Kluyveromyces lactis: one gene and its partner. The protein of the gene in region 1 purifies or fractionates together with the protein of each later gene. This does not show direct contact. Links are inferred from orthologs where the notes say so. Each region holds a gene or a part of one and is shown on either strand. Other genes may lie near its edges.

Region 1 (11,477 bases):
ATATCTGTGATACGTTTTCAAATTCCTTCCCGACTGCTATACTATTTTCAAGGGTAATGTTTAACCCATTTAATTGATTCAAAATGGCATCCATGCTTTCGTTGATCTCTTGTAATATCAGACTTCTTTGCTCGATGAAATATTTGTCGCCTGTCGATAGCTGTTGAACCTCTTCTGTCATTGCTGCTTGCTATATGTTGGGCCCTCAGTGTATGCAAATCGGGACTCCTGTTATTTTCCGATGACCCTCGATATACAATGCATATCAGTTTACCTTTTTCGTGTATTTCCATGATCTAAATGTTTTAATAAAACTGTCCGCTTCTCATAAAGATACTAAGTCGTTGATGACAGAAACCTGGTGTATCGCTGAGAACCAACTGGCTCCAAAGCTTAGGTAATTGGAACATTTAGCAGCTCAATTAGACATTAAAATAGGCGAATATCGCGATCTGCGGTATTTGAATCTTCACTGCCAATTTACCTTCAAATATGAAATCAAGATGTTACCGGCAAGGATTATCATTGGCACATATACAGACGTTTGAAAGACATAGCAAATGTAAGAAACCACTAATTTTAAGCGAAATACTGGTAACCTGGATTAGCAAACGATCTTCATCTCACGCCAAGCTATATAATACGACTGACTGCCCTTTCACATCATATTCAGCTTACCCTACCGATGTTCTCTCGGATATAAAATGGAAAAAGTTATTGAATGCTTACTCTTTCACCATATTACATAGTTCTTGAAAGTTTCTTTAGCGTAAAAGGGCAAGTAAAAATCAACCAGTATATTTGGCTGGCCAAGGCATCTTCAACTCTTGGCTAGTCTCTCTAAGCTGGGAGAATAAATCTTATCAGTCTTGAACAATTTAAGTTCTGTTATCCGATCTTCAAAAATTATATCGATATAACCCTATCGTTGTTCAAACAAATACAAACCACAACAATCGACTCGTGTAGCCCGCAACTTTCCACCAGGTAACAATGCTAAAACCTATGACTTTTAGCCTTAGCTGCAAAGCAAAAACCGAATTATACTTACACGGTAGTTACGTACAAGCTTATATATAAATTATGCTGAAGCTGTATTGCACTAACAAGAATATGTCGTTTGGATGTAGTTGTAATTGAGAGTAAAAAAATTTGGTTCTTATTCAAATGATTGGCCTTAGTCGCTGACTTCGTCATCAGCGTATCTGGGCTCAATGTCAAAGATCAATTCATATTTCCGCCATTTTACGCGCAAAGGACTTTCCGCATTGCAGGCCTCGGCGTCATCTTCTTTATCGTATTCATCTAGCCAGTCCCAGTTGGAATTGAATTTGTCTATATTATCTTCCAAAAACTGCGTTAGCTGCTCTCCATGTTGGACCATAGCGGCGTCGTTAGTTAAAAAATTCCAAATATGAACTAGATAGAACTTCAAGGATTTTATACCTCGAAGGAATCCCTGATCCTCTCTGTTTGGGAAATGAGGTGCAATCTTAAAACGATCTAGTGACTTTTCTATATCACGATCAGTGACACACCTAGCGAAATCTATAATGTTTACCTTCACCCGAGATCGTTTGTTCTGAGGGTTGTCGCCATCGTAAAATAAGAGCAAAGATGATCCGTACAATCTGTATGATTTCAGCTTCGCGATTTCACTGTATAAAGTATCTAATTGTTGAATCAAGATAGGAATTTGCTTAACGATACTTCTTTTCGACTCGCCATCGTATAAGAATCTTGCTAACACTCTAGAAAATTGCCAACCGACTCTTACCTTTCTACCGTAATACTTATCCCTTGTAATGTAATAATTATGCTTCTTATCCCAAATCTTTAGCCCACATAATCTCACTCCAAGCTTCCTCGAAGTAGTCTTTTTACATTTTTCACGCTGTGACAGCTGTTTGGATCTCTTGGCATCAACTCCATACTGCCTGGTGCCCATTTTCAAATCAAGAACTGATGGGCACTTAAGCTTTCGAGTTAAGTCTTCGAGTAAGATGAATTTAGAGACAATAGTATGCGAAGTCTCTTCCACGGAAACAGATTCATGGTTGAAGGCACCTTGTTGTTGTTCGGGAGATTTGACATCTGATTCATGAACATCATCGTCCAACTTAAACATAATATCGTCATCTTCCAAGTTGCTAGGATTCACATCTAATACGTTATTTGTCGATACGGCTGCTCGCTTCATAGAATTACGCCGTAAATATTGTTCGTTGCCCAGGCCTCTTGATTTCTTATTAGAAGAAGAGGAAGAAGATCTCGAGTGTTTACATTCCTTTAGAGACGAGGAAGATCCTGTTCTAGTACGTGAAGAACGAGGACTATAACATACACCCGAGGGTTTCCGTCTCATGAAAGCTTCTTTGACCACCAATTCTTGTAATTTTGTGTTGACACTAGTTGATCCAGATCCTTGATTGGAATTACCCTTAAAAACCTCTCCTCCGTCAAAAGAACGAGACGACAAAAATGAATCTATTGGAGCACTAGAAGGCGAGTTTGAAGTCGACCGGGATGAAGAATATTGTTGATACAGTGAATTGGGTATAATATGCTTGTTGTCATCTAGCACTACTTCCGGTAGTGTAGAAATCCCTTCTTTGATGTCTTCCATTCGTGACAAGAATGTAGGTGATGCTAATCTATTACATGAGCTTCTAGATTGGTCATTAAGTGTTCTCTCATTCCTCAGATCATTACTGGAAATATGCGAGTTGTCATTAGAGGTATTAGTATTATTATTCGCTTTGAACTTGGTTGTATTGTTAACTATTTCTTCTAAGAAATCTTCCTTCGTGTGGAAATGCTGTCTGACGTTCAATACACCGATGTATCTTGGCATGAATTGAAGAAGTTCTTGATGCTCCTTTTCTATGGTTTCGTACCAGTTATTTTCTGTATTAACCAAAGCTTTGCAGACGGCTCTTTCACTGAATTTAAAGATAGCAGTGTGCCCTCCAACTTTGTTCGTGAAAGGTTTCAATTCCACCGCCAAGGGGAAATCACCGTGTTCTTCAACATCGTCGTCATCATCATCGTCAGCGATAGCACTTTCATCAGGAATTGTCTTAGAATTGAAACTTGGTATCTTATTTTCAATTCTCAGCGGTTCATCGTGCCGTTGTTGTTCTAAAGCTGTATTAGTTAACTTCCTTGGATATTCTTCATCCTTGTGATTTCTCGCAGCACCGATATGAATAGGGGGCACCACTACATCCGGGCCAAAGAGATTGACACTTGTCTTATCTTTCTCATCAATTATAGAGATATCTTTATAACTGGATAAAATGTGACGATCTTCATCTGTTAAGTAGATAGCGGACGCGGAAGTTTTTGGTTCTAATGCAACACCTTCTGTCGCATCCACATCTTCCAGCTCATGTAAATCTGTCAAATCTGTCGACTTAGTATTTTTCAAAACAGGTCGTTGGTCTACGCTGACCTTCATAAACGATTTAGGACCATGCGCGATCTCTGTCTCATTTGAGTTTGAATTAGATTTGGAGCCTAAGCCACCACCAGAATACTTCCTTAGGCTTTGATCAGGAATCGAGACATCTGAGTCTTTATCATCGAACACTCTCAAGTAATTAGCTGCTTTTCTACCATGAATTACAGAACTCTTCCTGTTCCTACTAGACTGCTGCTGTTGCAGCTGCTGGTTCTGACCACTAATTTGGGGTGAAGGATGCCGTTGTTTGTTACAACTATCGTCCATACTTAAATCCTGCAAGTGAGCCGCAACCAGAGTGGTCTGTTGTGCGGCATTTTCATTAGAGCCATGCCGTTGTACTTGCATCTGTTGCTGTTGCTGTTGCTGCTGCTGCAGGCCATTAACCTCTTGCTCCATGTGTTTATAAAACAGCCTGTAACAAAGGATTGGAAAACCAAAATAATAACAAAAAAAAGAGTCCTGTTACAAGAGATAAGAGAAGCGCAGATGAGAATGAAATCACAGAATAATATGAATACAGTACTGGCTTTCTTTGGCTCACCTGGCAAACAGCGCGAACCGATAATTGGGCCAGATTGAGGATATATCTATTAAGATGAATTGAAAGATTGTTTTTCTTTATTGATATATTAGATCAAGAAGCTTTAAAAAAAAAAATTATAACGAAAGACTGAATACTGATTAAATTGAACATGGAATAGATATCGAGATAGAAATTGAACAGATACTAAATGTCTGATGTTCACTATTTCTAAATGATGTTTCAACTGCAGGTGGCCCTAATTTCTGACATGCGAATGTCAAGATATGACATAACGTCCAGCAGCACCTGCACGCTACACTCTTCCTTTTTCAGTAACGGTAGTTTAAATTCATTTTATGTAGACAGAATATAGAGATGAGAGAGAATAAATAAAAGGTTTGCGTCAAGGTGAAAAGAGGGGAGGAGCAGTCTTTGCATGTGGGGGATCTGAACCCATGTGTGTAATGGTTTTAAATTGAAGATTGTGCCTTATTATAACCATCAAAATTTCCTTTTTTTTCCCCCTGCCTGGCATGCCTTTTTGAGTTGTAATAATAAGGGAAACGGAAGCATGTGGTGAGCATCCTTGCATGCACCATCAAATTATGTTTTTTTCAAACATCCAAATTAATATGCTCGCGTGGCGTAATGGCAACGCGTCTGACTTCTAATCAGAAGATTGTGGGTTCGACCCCCACCGTGAGTGCTTTCTTTGGATTTTACCACATCCGCGATAGTTTAATGGTTAGAATTCGCGCTTGTCGCGTGCGAGATCGGGGTTCAATTCCCCGTCGCGGAGAATTTTTATTTTTTTGACCCTAGCTGTCGTTACATCACGTGACTTTCCGCCAATGATACCATGGAATACATAACAAGTCCGGGTAAGACCGCTATATTCTCACAGAAATCAAAAATTTATTGCTGGACTCGTATATGATGATCCATATAATGGCGTTCCATCTTCAAAGATACACAGAGCCCCTTCAATTAGAGTATATATCTGGCCATATAAGCTGACTCTCTCACTCCATAACCGCAGCATTCTACTCAAGACTAGCTACAAATAACCTATACTATCCCACCCTATTCTCTCCTGGCTTCTGCCCCCCGTCTTTCTCCCTTTATACCTCGAATTTCACGACCCGGTGTGAAATTCCCAATCTTCGAAATAATTTTCAAACATATCGATTTCGAGGTTTTTTAACTCTTTTACTATTACAAGTGTGTATTTTGAATAATTTGATTAACGTTCCACACGGTGAATACTTGAATTGTATTTGCATTGAGTTGACCAGTCTACCTTTTCAACTGTTCTCTTTGTTCAACCCCGCAAGCCCAACGTAAGAAATATACATTCGAATAACAATGTTTGTGAGAAACACTGCATCCGTTGTACGTGGTACTTCCAGAAACTATGCAACCTTGAGAGAAATCGAAACCAGATTGAAGTCTATCAAGAACATCGAAAAGATCACCAAGACCATGAAGATCGTTGCTTCTACCAGATTGTCCAAGGCTGAAAGAGCTAAGAACAGTGCTAAGGAGTATGCCTTGGCCGATGCTGCTTTCTACAAGAACGCAGAAACTGTTCCATTGGAAGATGCTGAAAAGAAAGATTTGATCATTGCCATCACTTCTGATAAAGGTTTGTGTGGTTCTATTCACTCTCAATTGGCCAAGGCTGTTAGACTTCAATTGAAGCAAACTCCAAACGCTGATGTTGTTGCCATCGGTGACAAGGTTAAGGGTCAATTGCTAAGAACCAACTCTGACAACCTCAAGTTCGCTTTCAATGGTGTTGGTAAGGAAGCTCCAACTTTTGAAGAAACTTCTTTGATTGCTAACAAGATCTTGGAAGGTGGTGCTTCCAATTACAAGAAGGTTTCGATCTTCTGGAACGACCCTATCTCTTCTTTGTCCTTCGAACCTTCTAACAAGCCAGTCTTCAACGCTGCTGCCATTGAACAATCTCCTTCTTTCTCCAAGTTCGAAATCGATGCTGACAACAACGTTTCTCAAGATTTGTTCGAATTCACTTTATCCAACGAAATCTTGGCTGCCATGGCTGAAGGTTATGCTGCTGAAGTCTCTGCTAGAAGAAACGCTATGGATAACGCTTCCAAGAACGCCGGTGACATGATTAACAGTTACTCCATCTTATACAACAGAACCAGACAAGCCGTTATCACCAACGAGTTGGTTGATATTATTACTGGTGCTTCTTCTTTGGATTAAACGTAATATGAAGAAAAGAATACTTTTAATTTATCACTAAATTAGCTGGAAAGAGTTAAACAGGAACCTTCATACTGAAGAGGAAAGAGCATCCTCATCCCCTCTACAATCGCAGTTCCTTATCACCCTTTCTGCCTCTTTTTTTTTCTAAACTTACACCTATTTTCCACCTCTATCAATGAAAATGATATATTATTTGGTATTATAATGTTAAACTATCATTGGGTTTCCTTAAATTATCATTCTAAGACATCATTTCTATATTTTATGATTATGAATTGAAGAACTTAACAACAATTAAAAAAACTACTTTGAGATTTATTTCACTAAATATCTCTCTCAGAGGGCTATGAAGACGTTTACGCCTTTACATTTCCAAATGGCGATAAAGAATTATTATAAGAAACTAATATTGGCCTCTTTCAAGGTTCTACTCATATCGCACATATTGTTTTGAGCCACTTCCAATGAAGGCAATTGTTCGATCGAGTGTCAAGTTTACATATTCGGACTTTCGCATTTCATTCAACAACACTCTCGTCTGGCCTCAGATTTCTACTGTATACTGCCATTATCACTACGTATGTACCATATTTGTATGACTCTTTTAAAACAGATATATTCAATGCGAATCCCCCTTCGCCTCTCCTATGTATTATGAGGTTGCATTGGCGCATGTCTTCTGTCATTCATAGTCGATTCAGGTCTGTTTCATATCTGTATCACTGTTAAAAAACACTGAAACACTTGAATACTGGAACAAGATTATCAGATATGATGCAGTATTATTTCAGTTCATTAAACGTATATAACCAGATGCATTCATATTGCAAACTTTCAATGAGCTTTTAGTTTCAATTTACTTTCTAGTACAGTTAGGTGTAACTTAGCATCCTTCAACAAAACACTGATAAATACAAAATCATTATGTTTCTACCATTCACCTTATTCTATAAGCTAGGAAAACGTATTCCTAGGGTGCTGGTGTTAATTACTTCTTTTATTTCAGTATTTTTATTGGTATTTTTATTAGTGGGTTGTTACAACGTCGATCAGAGTTCAACGTATTTGGTGAAATATCAATTCAACGATAAATCTCCCCTATATCCAGTCATTTCAAATCAGTTCAGTTCACAGGAATATACTGATGGATTAGAAAACGTTCAAATATTTTCAGGGTATATGGGGATATGTATCAATAACATCCCATCGAATTATGACAGAAACTCCTCGAGCAAATCGTCTAAGGTTTGTTTCAACAGGAAGAAGGTAGATGACATGGACATATTTGACGATTTGACGATTAAGATTTTCAGTTTCAAGAATTCCAACTCCACAGAAGAATCAGAGTCCAGTAATTTAAATATATTGGAGTTAGCTCACCAAAATTCTGACGAACTGGTGCATCCTTATTTATTGATGGTTGTTACCATTTTCACAATTTTGTTGTTTGGAATCACAGTATATGCAATCATACCTAAATTGCCATTTAAAAATTACGTGCAGTTTATTATCATGGGTTTATCTGCATTGATCACCTTGTTATGGGCTATTGGTGCCATATGGACTCACGTTGCCATAAATTGCAATGTATCCCTAATTCCAAGAGCATCGATGAATATAATGACAGCAGAAAAAGGAAGTAAATCACAGGCTCTGTCATGGACTGCATTTACATTCATGCTCATAGACTGCTTGATAATGTGGATGGTATACTTTAGAGATAGAAAGAAGCTCGACGAGAAGCTGGATGACGTTAAGTCAACCAAAAACCCGTTCTCGAATAAATACGCATCAGATACAACTTTAAGCAGTGTATGATAGAAGCCAACGCAGCCATTGCACTTCCTAATATTATATGCACTTTGCGAATGATTATATCGTATTTTAAAGATGTGTTTCTGGTCCCAACGTTATTATAAGTTTGCAGTTTCTTTATATCTTTATTTAAATGTATGTTGAATGAATTTCCAAGTTTCTATAAATTCTCATAAGTTCGAATTCATATATCTACAAAACTAACTGGATAAAAAAGGGAAGCAATTTAACAGTATCCAAACCAATCTTAGAAGCAATTGTTACCGTTTGAGTAAAGGTTTTATAGACTGAACTGTTCAACCGTCGTTAGCACGCTTTTACTAGCGAAGACAATGTCAGATCACAACAATTTCGCCAGTACTCAGCTGCTTTTCTTAATATTCCGAACAATAGTACGGTTTATTTTAATCCCATGCAAACTGGTTACGTCTCTACTACGGAAGCTGTTCCCAGCAGGGATAATGAATCGTTTGGATCCAAACTACCGATGGAGAGATGATTATCACATTGTCACATATTTTATTACGAGCGTTTTCAAGTATGTTTGGTCAGTGTACAGCAATAGATTCCAATATTGGTACGTATTTGAAGCTCAGGTAAGGAAGGCTCCTCAAGGTTTGGCAATTAGCTACCCCAAGCCTCTATCTGTAAAAGGCGATTTCGAGTTGCAACAATTTACTTACCTGGAAACTTACAATATCGTTTTAAGGTTGTCGCATTATTTATTTAATGTACATCAGGTGAAACCTGGAGATTTTGTGGCATTGAATTTTACAAACAAACCACTGTTTATATTCCTATGGTTTGCGTTATGGAACCTTGGTGCCACTCCTGCATTCTTAAATTATAATATTTTAGGTCAACCTTTAATTCATTGCATTCAAACCTCGAATATTAGCCAAGTGTTCATTGATCCACAAGCTCGAGAACCTATGAAAAAAACAGAAGAAGACTTGAGAAAAGTATTGCCCCATACCCAGTTGCATTACATCAATGAAGACGAGCTATTCAACAATGTTTTACTCAATGAAAAGTACCCTACTCTAAGAGTGGACGACGGTATTCGGTCCTCTCAATCGGCAAAAGATTTTGAAGCTGCAATGCTAATATACACTTCAGGTACCACTGGCCTTCCTAAACCAGCAATTATGTCTTGGAGAAAATCAACAATCGGTTGTTCATTGTTTGGTAGGATAATGCGTGTCACTCAAGGCAAGACGGTCTTTACAGCAATGCCATTGTATCATTCAACTGCAGCATTGTTAGGAGTCTGTGCAATCTTTGCCCATGGTGGTTGTGTTGCCATTTCAAACAAGTTCTCGACATCTACATTCTGGAAACAAGTTTGTATGACCGAGTCCACTCATATCCAGTATGTCGGGGAGGTTTGCCGTTACTTATTGAATTCTCCGGTGAGTTCCTACGAGAAACAGCACCGCGTAGAGATTGCATACGGGAATGGTTTGAAAACGGATATTTGGAAAGAGTTTAAAGAAAGGTTCAATATTAAGATAATTGGAGAATTTTATGCCTCAACTGAATCTCCATTTGCGACCACTTCTCTACAACGTGGTGATTTTGGTATCGGTGCCTGTAGAAATTATGGTCCTTTCGTCAGTATGGTCTTGTCAATTCAGCAGTGTTTGGTGAAAGTTAACCCCGATGATGAAACCATTATTTATAGAAATGATAGAGGATTTGCTGAAACACCGGAAGTTGGTCAACCAGGAGAGTTGTTAATGAGGATTTTTGTTCCAAAAAAGCCTGAAACTTCTTTTCAAGGTTATATGGGGAACAAAAAAGACACTGAATCAAAGGTCATTAGAGATGTTTTCCGCAAAGGGGACGCTTGGTACAGGTCTGGTGATTTGTTAAAGGCTGATGCCAATGGATTATGGTATTTCATGGATAGATTGGGCGATACCTTCAGGTGGAAATCTGAGAACGTTTCCGCTACCGAAGTTGAAAATCAAATAATGTCCTTCACAAAAACTATCATATTGGAAGCTGTTGTTGTCGGTGTGAAGCTTCCGAGCAACGAAGGAAGAGCTGGCTTTGCAATTTTGAGATTACAAGACCCAAATATTTCTATTGAAGGCAAACTCGATTTGCTCAACAATCTATTGCCGCATTTGAAAGACAACCTACCCAAATACGCCTTACCAATATTCGTAGAATTTGCAGATAAAATCGAACTAACGCATACTCACAAGGTAGCAAAAAACCTTTATAGAAATAAGGTTCTTCCACATGGAGAGGATGGCTCCGAAACTTTATTCTGGTTATGCAATTATGGGAACTATCAAGTACTCTCCGATGAGGATTGGAAGGAAATTTCGAATGGCACAAATAAGATATAGAGAGGTAAATATAACAAATAAAATATGATCATAATAAGTAAATAGTAAATTTATTTGAAATGCTTAATGACTATGAATCTTTAGATACTAAAGAAGTTGCCTTCTTCCCTATATAGTAAAAGATGGGAAGCATCGTTAAGACAGGGAAGAGCAAAATGGAAACAAGGGATAAAATGCTAACTCTGCAGGGTCCTGTTACAGCATGATTAAGATCAGGATCTAGTTGGAAACTTCCTGTTTTGTAATAATTATCTAGCAACTTATCCTTGAGGTTCCAGACACTAAAAAGCCAAGAATGGAATTCATCATCATCTTCAAGTGGAATATCGTCTAATCTGATCGCTCTGATATAGATGTCCACCAATTTTGGAGCTTTTCCCTTGAGGAATATGTTTCCTAGTTTGTAAATGTCTTGTCCATAGTCTTCAGCTCTAACGCCTGAATATGCAATTGTAATATCATAAACGTACTCGCAACTGTTGCGAAGTTTCTGCAAGCAAAACTTCAATCCAGTGGTTCTTGGTAGTAGAACATGTTTAAATGGAGAAAGTCCTGATTTTTCTGCAAATGCCTTATTTCTAGCACGGGTACCAGCGCTAAGGTTTGTGCCCTCTGGGAACAACATTAACCAGTATGGCCATTGCTCACCCTTCTTCTCCACTTTCGCCTCGTCCCATATGTTAAGTCCTTCCTCTGTCTTAGTCGTTGGAGAGTTCCCAGCAATGATTCCGACCCCACGAGCATCCAAATCTATTTCGTGCAATTTATTTGATAGATTGATTCTGTCCTGTTCCCACTTTCTATTCATAAATATAAACTTGTAATTTGTCATACCGCTTCCCAGAAGTGGTATCGACTCTAATGATTTCTTCAACATAATGTAAACGTTACCAGCCCTTTCTGACACATATGCTAACCACCATAAAAACACCCAATCAGTGTAAATTTGGTGATTAGCTATAACCACTGCATTGGAATTAGCTTTGGATATTAACCTGCCCTTATGATGATCCATATATATGGTTCCCTTCGGTATCGATTCATTGTCGGTTGTTATCCTCACATGGGAAGGCGC
Region 2 (11,509 bases), on another chromosome or scaffold:
TACTAGATTCTGCATCTACGGTAATGTGTGACCCGTCAGTATGAATAGTGACAGACCCATCTTCAATCGTGATCAGGGCCAATGACTGGACAGAACCAAATTGTAACATCTTCAACGCGTCTAGATTTTCCTCAAATTCACAATTAAGATCGATGATTATGGCGAACTTGGAATGCGTAGGCACAGCAGCAGTTCCTAAATGTTTTAGGTATGACGATGATAATGGAATATTCCCTAGTTCATTATAAGCATTACAAAAAGAACAAAACCACCCAGCTCGTGAATCTCTTGAACATAAAAAATTCGCAAACCCTCCACAGATTTTACAATTGGTATAATTCTCACTGCTTGCTAGGCTTGAATTCCCGTCAATTGTCAAGTCCGGCTCACAAATGGCACTTATCGATCCACGGTTATCATCTCCACAATCGAGAACTCTAGCTAAGCAATCTGTCCGGGACGTAGGAACGGCTCCATAATTCAATTCAAACATCAAGTTCTAGATGGTGGAATATGCGGACACTTGACGGATGAAGGTGATAACTCTACTGTGCGTGTCTGCTGATAGGAAAACCTTTCTCTGGAGATGAGATCCAAGATAAGATAGAGCAGGTAGCGGAGAATTCAATATCATCACAAGATCCGGGTAATGTATATATTAGGTTCATTCTCTTTAATTTTCAGTGTTTCTACGAAGTTGTTTATGGCATCTGAAAAAGCTGAAAAATTTTGAAAAAGAGAAAGCTGATAGTTAGTTTAGCTTGATTACAGAAGAGATCACCACATTTGTGCACACATTGTATTTAAATAACTCTTCAGAAGTCCATCAATAGCACTGGAGATAGAAGAGAACTCTGAGGATCAAGGCTTTTGTTGTTAACAAATAAGGCTTGAAGACACCATAGGGCACTAGGAAGAGATGAGCAAGCATTTAGCTATTACCAAGTTCCGTCCAGCCAACTGGCTACAGAAAGCAGGGTATGCACCACAAGTCTTTTTATTCAGAAACCTAGAGAGTGGACAAGTGCTGTACTCTCAATTCCCGACTTTTTCTTGGAAGCAAATTGATACCAATTTCCAAAGACCCAACTGGGAGAATAAGAAACCAAGCACCAGACGTGATATTTGGAAATGTATGGCTGTTGTTGATCTACCAGACTACGACAAGAGTGTAAAAGTATACCAGAATTTGTGCAGATTAAGATATCTCCGTGATGTGACATTCAGTAAACAGGCAAAAGACATGAGAAAGAAGAATGAGTCCGGCCACACATGGTACTCATCGCAATACAGACCAACATACTCTCAAGAAGCGGTTGCCGATTTGCGAGAATGTCTCCTAAAGTTGAAAGACGTCCAATCGTCCATTAAGGTCCATTGGGAAGACGAATGGAGAATGGGGGATAAAGAGAAATACTGGAACCCAGTATTGCCAGAGTTGAATCACACAACACTAGAACGTTTGGGGAACGTTTCCAGAGAGGAAAGTGCAATTTTGAAAGAACTAGGCGAAAGAGCCAAAGAAGAGTTCGCAAGAGTGAGACAACAGGAGTCAGCTGCTCAAAACATCTCTCTATGAGTTACAAAAGAAAACAAGCAAATACAAACTATTTCCAGTTGCAAAAGCTGAGCCGAGCTCAGATCTTTCACTGCTTCACTCGTCACGTCTTTAAGAAATCACTACATGTACATATATAACCCGCAGACAATCCGACTCTGTAAATAATATAAACAAACCCTCAGCTCACTACCGGCGTTTAACTGATTTGACAAGGTGATTACTAGCAGTTTTCTCCCTTGTTTCCATCATCACGTAACCTAAATATCAAAGGTTCTGTAATCATCATATTACTTCCTCTACTTTTCTACCGCTTCATACCATATGTGTCTCATGCATGCATTAACGCCTAACGGAAGAAGAAGCAGGAACCCGGACACCAAAGAAAAAGCAAAAAAAATGTCACATGACCAAATTTGAGAAACCTTAACACCGTTTCTCTGGTTTTCTCTGGTGTTTCTTTAACGACAATCCTGTTTTCCCTTAGAGGCTTCGGGTTTTTCTTAGTTTTTCTAGCATAACATGGTGTCGAGAATACAGAATTGCGTTATAAATGTATTGCGTTATAAGATCAGTGGTTGTATTTATACGAAGCGTATAGGCTAATGTTGGCATACCAAGCGAAGAAGGCTGCAATAATATTGAAAGGGTAAGGCTTGAGATTAGGTAAAAAGTTATTCTGGAGTTACTGTTTCTTTTTTTTTGATCATACTGAAGAGAGACAGCAACTATATAAAATACGAAGCAAGATACGAAATCAGATACACAAACTGATATTTGCAGTGTCATACAAAACTTATAAGTCCATTTATACTTGAGAGGAGCTGTTTTCTGTCGGATACAGTTCGAGGATAAGGAGATACAATATTTTGCGTGTGCTGTATCGGTTTTATAACTATGGCAAATATTGTTGAAAGTGCAGTGCAGCACTTGTATTTGCAGGTGAAAGATGCTATGGATGTGTCGTTTATGAATTCTAAAGCTCCACCTGCTTCTGTGATAACGAAGAAACAGGATATTTTGCCTTGGATTTCTGATGGGAAACTTGCCTTAGCACTACCTGTTGTTGCTTATTGGCTTTATTCGATGTTTTTCCATTACATTGATACCAATGAGGTTTTCGAACAGTACAGGATTCATCCAAGCGAGGAAGTACAACAGCGGAATAAGGCCTCAAGATTAGAGGTTTTAAAAGAGGTGATATTACAACATTTCATTCAAACATTTACTGGACTTGGTATGCTCTACTTGGATCCTGTGCCGACTTCAGGGTTTGAGAAGTATGAGATGTGGAAATGGAGGCAATCTTTACCCTTTTTCGTACCATCTGTTTTCATCAAGTTTATGTATTGCTATGGATGGTCTATGATAAGGATATTTATTGGGTTTTGTATCGTAGATTCGTGGCAGTATTGGCTGCATAGGGTGATGCATATGAATAAGACACTTTACAAAAAATTCCACTCACGTCATCATAGGTTATATGTTCCTTATGCGTACGGTGCATTGTACAATTCCCCAGTGGAAGGTTTCCTCCTTGACACTTTGGGTACAGGCATTGCTGCAATCGTGACACAATTAAATCATACAGAACAAGTTGTTCTATACACTTTTGCTACTTTGAAAACAGTGGACGATCATTGCGGATATGCTTTGCCCCTGGACCCATTCCAGTGGTTGTTTTCAAATAATGCAGTGTATCACGACATTCACCATCAGTCTTTTGGTATCAAGTCCAATTTTTCTCAACCATTCTTTACCATATGGGATAAGTTTTGTGACACCAAGTATCATGGATTTGAAGAGTATGAGAAAAAACAAAGACGTGTCACCATTGACAAGTACAAGGAGTTTTTGAACAAAAGAAAACTCGAACACCAGGCCAAGTTAAAAGCTATGAAAGAGAAGATGTCATAGTTTTCTTATCTTCTGCATATATCCTACATCAATGTTTCACTTCCAATTGTTTTTTTTTAACGTTTCATTGTTATCTCTTTTCTCCTAGAAAAAGGATCAATCACCGTCATTTTCTTGTGATCACATATGCTTATTAGCATCCTTATAATTGTGATTATCAGTATTACTATTTACTTTACTACTGGCGTTAGAACCCACCCCTTATTCGTTTTACACATTTTCTTTCAGATTTTGTAATGAAGTTAGTTAATTTTTGTAATGAGGTTTAAAGAACTCAATCTTTTTCTGCATCCACTCTATCCTTAATCGATTCATTATACTAAATTGAATAGTGTTCTGAAAGTTATACTTTATTTCAACATCTATTTATGAGTTTGTATTTAAACTGACTCGAAAATGGTTGGTTTAAGTAAACAAAGCAATCCAATGAGACGACTAAGGATTAAAGAATCGACTTTTGAATCTTTTCGTTGTGTATTTGCTCTATACATATACGATCGTAATAAAATTTTTTTGGCACGAAGCGCGAAGAATGTTAATAGTTTAATAATGTTTTAAAGTTACTTGTATCGGTAAAAAGTGGACGTCAAGTCATCATGAAATCGTGAGAGAAAAAAAAAAGAAGTATCGTTGAAATATAAAATCATAGTTCAGATGTGAATCGTTTATTAATCACGTTCTATTCACTGTGTGTAGTTTATAGAACACATATTTCTCCCTTGAGAAGGGAAATAAAATTGAAGATACCCCATACATGAAATTCATGATATATTTTCCTCGTTCATATAATTGATTTATAGGTTTTGGGATATCGTTTAAATAGCTTCTCTTAGAACTTGGTTCAACTTGTTGATTCTGGAAGCAATTGACAAATCGACGGTTCTGTCGGAAACTTCAACGATTAAACCACCTTGGATTTCAGGCTTGACAACGTTCTCCAATTTCAAAGACTTACCCTTACCAACCAAAGAGGAAGCAGCCAAGGCCTTTTCCACTCTCTTGAACAACTTAGAGTCCAAAGGTTGAGCAGTGGTAACAGTCGCTTGCACAAGACCATGGTAAGCATCAGTCAACTTGGAGAATTGGGAAGTGACATGTTCTAACAAGGATAATCTGTTGTTTTCAGCCAAAACCTTCAACAAGTTTTGAACGGATTGATCCAAATTGATTTTCTTGGACAAAGTGTCAACAACAATGTTTCTATCTTCAGCAGACAAGGCTGGGTTTTCCAAAATGCTGGTCAACTTGGTGTCCTTGGCAACAGTTTCCTTCAAAGCATTCAATGAGGAAGCAGCAGCTTCAACGGAAGTGGTCTTTGAGGCAGCAGTGAACAATGCAGTGGCATAGGTACCATCCAAACCGAACAATTGCACTGGAGGCTTAACACCAGCCTTGGCAGAAGCTGCCATAGAACGAACAAATACTCTGGAAAACATGACTCTGTATATAGTGGTCTCTTTGATTCAATAATTCAATGATTTTATGGTTATTCAAACAATTGGAAGAAAACTTGCTCAATAGATTAAATGAAGTTTAAAGCTTAAGATAAGGTTTGGTACAATGGCAATAACAAAACACACACCTAATCGGAAAAGAGAGACTTGTCTTAATCTGATCAATGCAGAATCACTAACAAAATAGCAAATACACTTAAAAAATACAAATAAGCTAACGTAGAACGAAAGCTTCTTTTCCTGTAAATTACAAATTTATTTCTTAAAGGTGTGGAAATATTGAAAGTTCAATAAATTTTCAATTTTTTTTCCTTCCTTTACCTATATTTTTTCAAAACTTTCTCTGTTTTTGATCGGATCCTCCCTCCTATGTGTTCTTCTTTGTCTCTGTTTCGTTTCTGCTCTTGTGTTCTTGTTCCGGCCAAAGAGGTCCAAAAAAAAAAAAAAAAAACACGATCTAAGTTCCTCAGTAGTCGTAGGAAACGATGACGTGTTTTCATTGGTTGCGAGTCACGTGGAAATTAAACACTATGCTTTCACTTTTAATAGATATATTTGACCTTAATAGACGCTATGAGGCTTCTTAAAAGTAATTTGTATTGGATATTTGGTGCATCGAGAGTTTGAGACTAAGAATCGCTATCTTACAATCACGTGATTTAATAATAGCACGTGATCTATATATTTTCCTCTTCTTTTTGAAGATCCGAAAAGGTAATCTGGAGTTTCTTTTTTGTAGTTGAAAAATTCAAGAAAGTTGATGTTTGAGAGATGAGACGAGATGAGATGAGATGAGAGACTCTTATATGGATAAATCAGCTGTACTCAATAGTGAGTTGTAAGTGAGGACGGTGAAGTACACGTAAAATACACGCAGATTAAATGGGTAAAAAGTCTTTGGCCGAACAAATCGCAGACATTGCGAATAAACCACAAGTTGAAGATTTCGACATTGAGAATGATGAAGGTGTATTTCAACATGGTGGGTCCGATTCAGATGTTAGTTCTGGCGATGAGAGCGAAGAAGAGTTGAAGAAACAGCATTATGTGGCAGTAGGAAAGTCAAAACTTAGAAATGTGGTCGATCAAGGATTGGCCGTAAAGGATAAGAAATACGTCGGGAGCAAAGGGTCTAGAGCAGAACTGTTCAATGACGAAGAAATGGACGCTCCTGAACAAGGAGAAAGTGAGTCTGAAGCTGAATCCGGATCTGAAGAGAGTGATGCAGTATCCTTTAGAAGCGATTCAGAAGATGTATCCGAATCTGAAGCCACTTCCGAGTCAGAAATAGAGAAAGATAGAGAGGAAGATGAGGAGACTGCGATGAAGAAAGAGAAATTGGCCAAGATAGTACAGACGCAAACTAAACAAGTGATTAATAATTTAGCACATTCCGCTCAGAGAGATGCTTCCAAAGGTTATGCCATCTTACAACAGAATAAATTCTTCGATAAAATTCTAGACTCTAGAATTAAGTTGCAAAAAGCATTATCCGCTTCAAACCAGTTACCACTTTCTCAACAATCTTGGGATGAACTTCTAGATGAAAATAACTCCAAATTGCTAACTAGTACTTTCAAAGTTTTAGAGAAAGTTTTGACCCAGTGTGTTACAGTAAGGCATAAATTCCAAATCGGTGATCACATAAACCAATCTGAGAACCCTTCTGACTTCGATAACAGCAAAAAGAGAAGTTTTAAGGAACTAGTACATGAAACTGTAACATTGGATTCTGATTTAAAATCATACCGTTCTGCCGTACTTAACAAATGGTCAGCAAAAGTTTCTGCATCATCAGGAAAATCTCTTCTGCAAGCCTCCAAGTTTAAAGCGATCAACCAGTCAGCTGATGTACAAGTGGATAACCAACTTGCTGATATGCCAAGATTACTTAAAAGGACAAAACTCAATAGAAGCAATACTAAACCTTTGTTGTTTGATGAAGATTTACAAAAAGGTCTACTAAAAGAATTGCAACTGGAGGAAAACGTAGAAGGAGACATCGAAGAAGAAAATAATTTGGATATTCCAAAGAATTACGATCCAAGAAGGAAGGATAACAATGCATTAGATTTTACCCAAAACCCATATATCTATGATGACGAAGATTTTTACAGAGTTTTGTTGAATGATCTTGTTGAGAAAAAAATATCTAACTCTCAACAATCCAATGGTGTTACTTTGGCCATCACTTCTCGCTCTGAAAACAAGCTCAAGAAAAACATCGACACCAAGGCTTCAAAGGGTCGTAAACTAAATTACTCTATTCAAGAACCAATTGCCAATTATGAAGCATCAGTTAATACTGGGTATAAATGGTCGGATGAGCAAATTGATGAATTCTTTGCTGGTTTATTAGGTCAAAAGATCAACTTCAATGAAGACGATGAATTGGAAGCTGACACGATGCACAACGAGGAAGACGAAGAGATCAAAAATGACGATATTCAAATTTTCGGATAATTTGGAGTTCGACCTTCAACTTGTATTTATTTTTCATCTATTGTTTATTATTATAATTAAAATATGTACACGGCATTCAAAATGTCCAACAAACTGACATCGACAAATCAAACATCGATAATATTGCTCATGTTACTTGCCATACTCTCTAAGTCAACCTCATTTTCTTCTTTTTCTCTTCTATGGCATTCTTCCACTATGTTTTCCCAATTGGAATTGAAAACACAATAGCTCAAAGCAAACGCCAGTAATAAGATCCCGGTACCGCATCCGTACCAAAGCCCTTTTAATCCCAACTGAAATTTACCAAAAGTTAGCCATCCACTTAAAGGCAATGCGATAAAATAGTATGCTATGATATTTAACAGGCTGCCAACTTGCTGCCGTCCTTGTGCACGTAATATCGCAGCGCTAAAAGTTGTGAATGCATCATATAATTGGTTAACTGCCAAAATTGGAGCGACATGACGATATAACTCAACGACCTCTTTGTCTTTAGTGAACAAATACGCTAAATTCTTGTCACCTGTTAAAATCAAACAACAATTCGCAATCCCTACAAACGCTGCTATCACGTACGACGTATTAATACAGATCTTCGCGTTGTTGACCGATTCTGTCCCAACATAATTAGCAACCCTTGTGGAAACTACGCAACCCATTGCGAATGGGATTTGATATATCAAAGATCCTATGTTCGATACGACTGATTGTGCTGCTATAGCCTTGACACCGAGATATGTAGACATAATAGTCAATACTTCGAAAGAAAGGTACTCTGCTTCAATCATGAGTAAACCAGGAAATGCCAAATTCCACATAGGTTTCCAGCTGCAAAATAATCTTTTAAAGTGGAACATTGAAGAGAACATGGGATACCAACAAATCAGAGTTTCCTTTCTCCAAAATTTGCAATAAACCAGTAGCATTAAGGCCATAAACCAGTGCGATATGGCGATACCTAGAGGAGCACCAGCATATCCAATGTAACGAGTAAATGAATACACTAGAATAATATTAACTGGAACTGTAATCAACAAGGAGTATGTTCCTGCTTGGAAATGGCCCTGTGATTGAAGGAATCTCTTACCAGTTTCGAAAAAAATCAGCCCTGGCAACCCAAACGATATTATTCTCAAGAAAAGTTGTATCTCTGGGAGGATATCCTGTTCAGCAATCACATAACCTAACCATGAAGCACTGAACCACCATGATATAATCACAGGGAAAATACCTGTCATTATCATCGCTGCACAACGGAATGAATATAAACCAACTTTTGCATATTTCTTGGCACCATACGCTTGTGAGCAAAAGGTATCCAAAGAAGTGGCCATACCCTCCACAAATGCTAAACCAGTAATATTGTAAGTCATTACCGCCAAAGATGCGGAAGCTAAGGCATCACTTGATTTACAGACATGACCGATGACAAATAAAGAAATAATAGCCAAAGAGTATTCCATTAGAAAAGTTAATGTAATTAGAGCGGAGTTGCTTAAGATATAGGAGACTTCATTCCTAGAGCTTGTTGGGGCAGTAAGATCCTCTATGAAGTCTTCGTCAATAAAGTCATCGCGATCTGCATCTGGACTCATTAGTCGATATCGATTGTCTATGGCATCGCCAGAAGATGCAGATTCTCCATCACTTTCATATCTAGTATTGTCATTGATTGTATCGTATCGCGGTCTATCCATAGAGTCACAGAGATACTCACTCTCTTGATTCATGTCTAGTTGTTTCAACTAACCTGTAATGCCCTTCTTTATCTTAAAACCAGTTTGAATGTCCATTAACAGTGGAATGAAAAAAACTAATCTCCAGAATTAAAGGTATTAATACCCAAAATGTTGTATTGAGCCAGGCAGTATGGATTGAACGGCCACCGAGCACGTTCCGATGACACGAACCTTTTATTCGTCTTGGTGTACATATAATTGATCCTTATCTACGTTGAAAAAGCACTAGTTTTGATAATCGCTAATAAGAATTTGATTGTGAAATTCTATATTATCGCTTAGCAGATAACTGCGATAGGAACAAAAAAAACAAAAGAATAAGAAAGTACATACCGTCAATTAGGTGCAATGTCATTTCTTCTTCGACCATTGAATGATAGCAGCTCGAACAACTCCAACAACGTTATAAGAATAAGCCCAGAACCATGTTTTGTCGTAAAATCTAAGGTAATAAACCCTGGTACTACATCGCTATCAAGCAATGCAAAGATATTCATCAACATTTGCCATAATGACCAGATACCCTTACCTGAAATCGATTTCAACCCCGCCATAGTATATCCCCTAATAATCAACAACCAATGGGAAATACCAATCGTAACCTCCTCAATAAGGGAGGATGTTGACAAAAAGGGCAACGTCTGCTACGTGAGCGATTGTTGTATAAACACCAAATGCGTTTCATGGATCCAGCATGATTTACAACTAAGAGAAATCGTAGTTGAATGGTGCTTAGAATCCTGTGAATTGCGAGCGGAGCTCGAAATATCAAGGGATAATATAAGTTTCCCTAAGCTGAAGAAGAAAGGTGATACTATACCTGAACTAGAAATACTGCGAGAAGACCTAACAGAGAATTATGAAGAAACCATCAATGATTTGGTAAATAGGGAACAAAAAGAACCTGTTAGTATTATCGAAAAGAGGCGAGACTTTCTTGCAGAAGACGAACCTTCGACGGGTGAACTGCCGCCATTAATTCCTATCGACCAATCTTCCCGTAGAAAACCTTTAATAGAGGAAATCGAGGATCTTTCACTGCATGAAACCAAGAAACCCAAGGTTGAAGAAATACAAAAAAAAAGTATATCATATGAACTTAGTATGGGCAAACCCAAAGACACCTCAGAGTTTCTCTTAAAGATAGAAGTGACCTCGGAGCTTAACTCTAGTCTTGATTACAATATCAAATATGATGCTAAAAGTAATAAACTCATCATAAAGAATACTAATCTAGGTATTTATCCCGAGAAGAAACTCAAGGTTCCATTACCTGATATATTTAATAATCCTCCAAAATTAGAGTGTTTCTTTGTGAAGCCTGAGCGCAGATTAATAATATTTTTATAAAATCTCAATATGGCCGTATATATATATAAATTGATGCAAGATGTTCGATTATCTATATATGCTTTTATTAAAGGGCTACGTGTATGAGAGTTAAACGTAACATGTAAAGTATATTTTCATTCACTTTAGGTTAATGAGGAGGGAATGCTAAATTTTCCCTATGAGCTACGTATTCACTATCAGCATAGCCTAGAATATCTTCAATCTGATCACTTTGCAGACCTTTAATTTTTGATAACTCTGTGCTTGTATAGTTGCAACGAGCCCTACCTACTGTTTTCAGTGCAACGGATTTATCCAAATTTCCATCTGAATCCCTGACTCCCAATTTTATATCTATACATTCATGTTCATGGAAGCTCCCTTGGACTTCAATAACGCCTGCAGGTAACAAACCAGCTTTGTTTTTCCTCGTTAACGCTTCGTATGCACCAATGTCTATAATTACAGCGCCTTGACTGACGAGTCCATGAAGCATCCAGAATTGTCTGTTCTTCAAGTGATGATGATTACTATTGGCAATAAACCTAGTATGAAGAGGAACATGATTATTAACTAAACTTTGCATCTCAGTGAGTTGTAGGTCAGCCAAATCTTGTGTAAGTTCATTCACGCCATCGTCCCTTTCCTGCATGTAGAGAACAATTTTGGAAATGTTTTCTGGAGTGTCGCTCTTCATAATGATGGTATGGACACCAGCATTGGTTGCTAATTCTGCCGCAATAAGCTTAGTCTTCATACCACCAGTTCCAACATCTGATCCAGATCCACCGTCTGTGTTCACACCTGGCAATCCTTGTGATATATCTGGAACAACCAAGATAGGTTTTGCATCGGGATTTGCTCTTGGATTATCAGTGTATAAACAGTCAACATCTGTCAATAAAAATAGATAATCAGCACCAGTCAACGCTGCTGTGATAGCTGATAATGTATCATTATCACCAAATTTGATTTCGCTCACAGATAAAGTGTCATTCTCATTAACGATTGGCACTACTCCCATGGAAAGTAATTCACTAATA

The links.
Region 2: the proteins of ATP3 (region 1) and ATP5 purify together in Saccharomyces cerevisiae (affinity purification with mass spectrometry; 3 studies listed by BioGRID). This does not show direct contact. The link is inferred for Kluyveromyces lactis from reciprocal best matches to the Saccharomyces cerevisiae genes ATP3 and ATP5.

The regions. Positions count from the first base shown.
Region 1 is NC_006038.1:599,079-610,555, reverse strand, and holds ATP3 (F1F0 ATP synthase subunit gamma), read left to right. Parts: upstream 1-5,354; coding exon 5,355-6,224; downstream 6,225-11,477. Other genes in the region: DAD1 (Dad1p), read right to left, coding at 1-181; inositol polyphosphate kinase KCS1, read right to left, coding at 1,178-3,862; FIG1 (Fig1p), read left to right, coding at 7,152-8,045; long-chain fatty acid transporter FAT1, read left to right, coding at 8,375-10,402; CST26 (putative acyltransferase), read right to left, coding at 10,473-11,477. UniProt on the Saccharomyces cerevisiae protein: Mitochondrial membrane ATP synthase (F(1)F(0) ATP synthase or Complex V) produces ATP from ADP in the presence of a proton gradient across the membrane which is generated by electron transport complexes of the respiratory chain.
Region 2 is NC_006039.1:884,006-895,514, reverse strand, and holds ATP5 (F1F0 ATP synthase subunit 5), read right to left. Parts: upstream 4,912-11,509; coding exon 4,291-4,911; downstream 1-4,290. Other genes in the region: GTPase-activating protein NEL1, read right to left, coding at 1-493; MHR1 (mitochondrial 54S ribosomal protein mL67), read left to right, coding at 920-1,579; SUR2 (sphingosine hydroxylase), read left to right, coding at 2,456-3,475; rRNA-processing protein BFR2, read left to right, coding at 5,812-7,392; ERC1 (Erc1p), read right to left, coding at 7,500-9,125; PIH1 (Pih1p), read left to right, coding at 9,483-10,484; PRO1 (glutamate 5-kinase), read right to left, coding at 10,615-11,509. UniProt on the Saccharomyces cerevisiae protein: Mitochondrial membrane ATP synthase (F(1)F(0) ATP synthase or Complex V) produces ATP from ADP in the presence of a proton gradient across the membrane which is generated by electron transport complexes of the respiratory chain.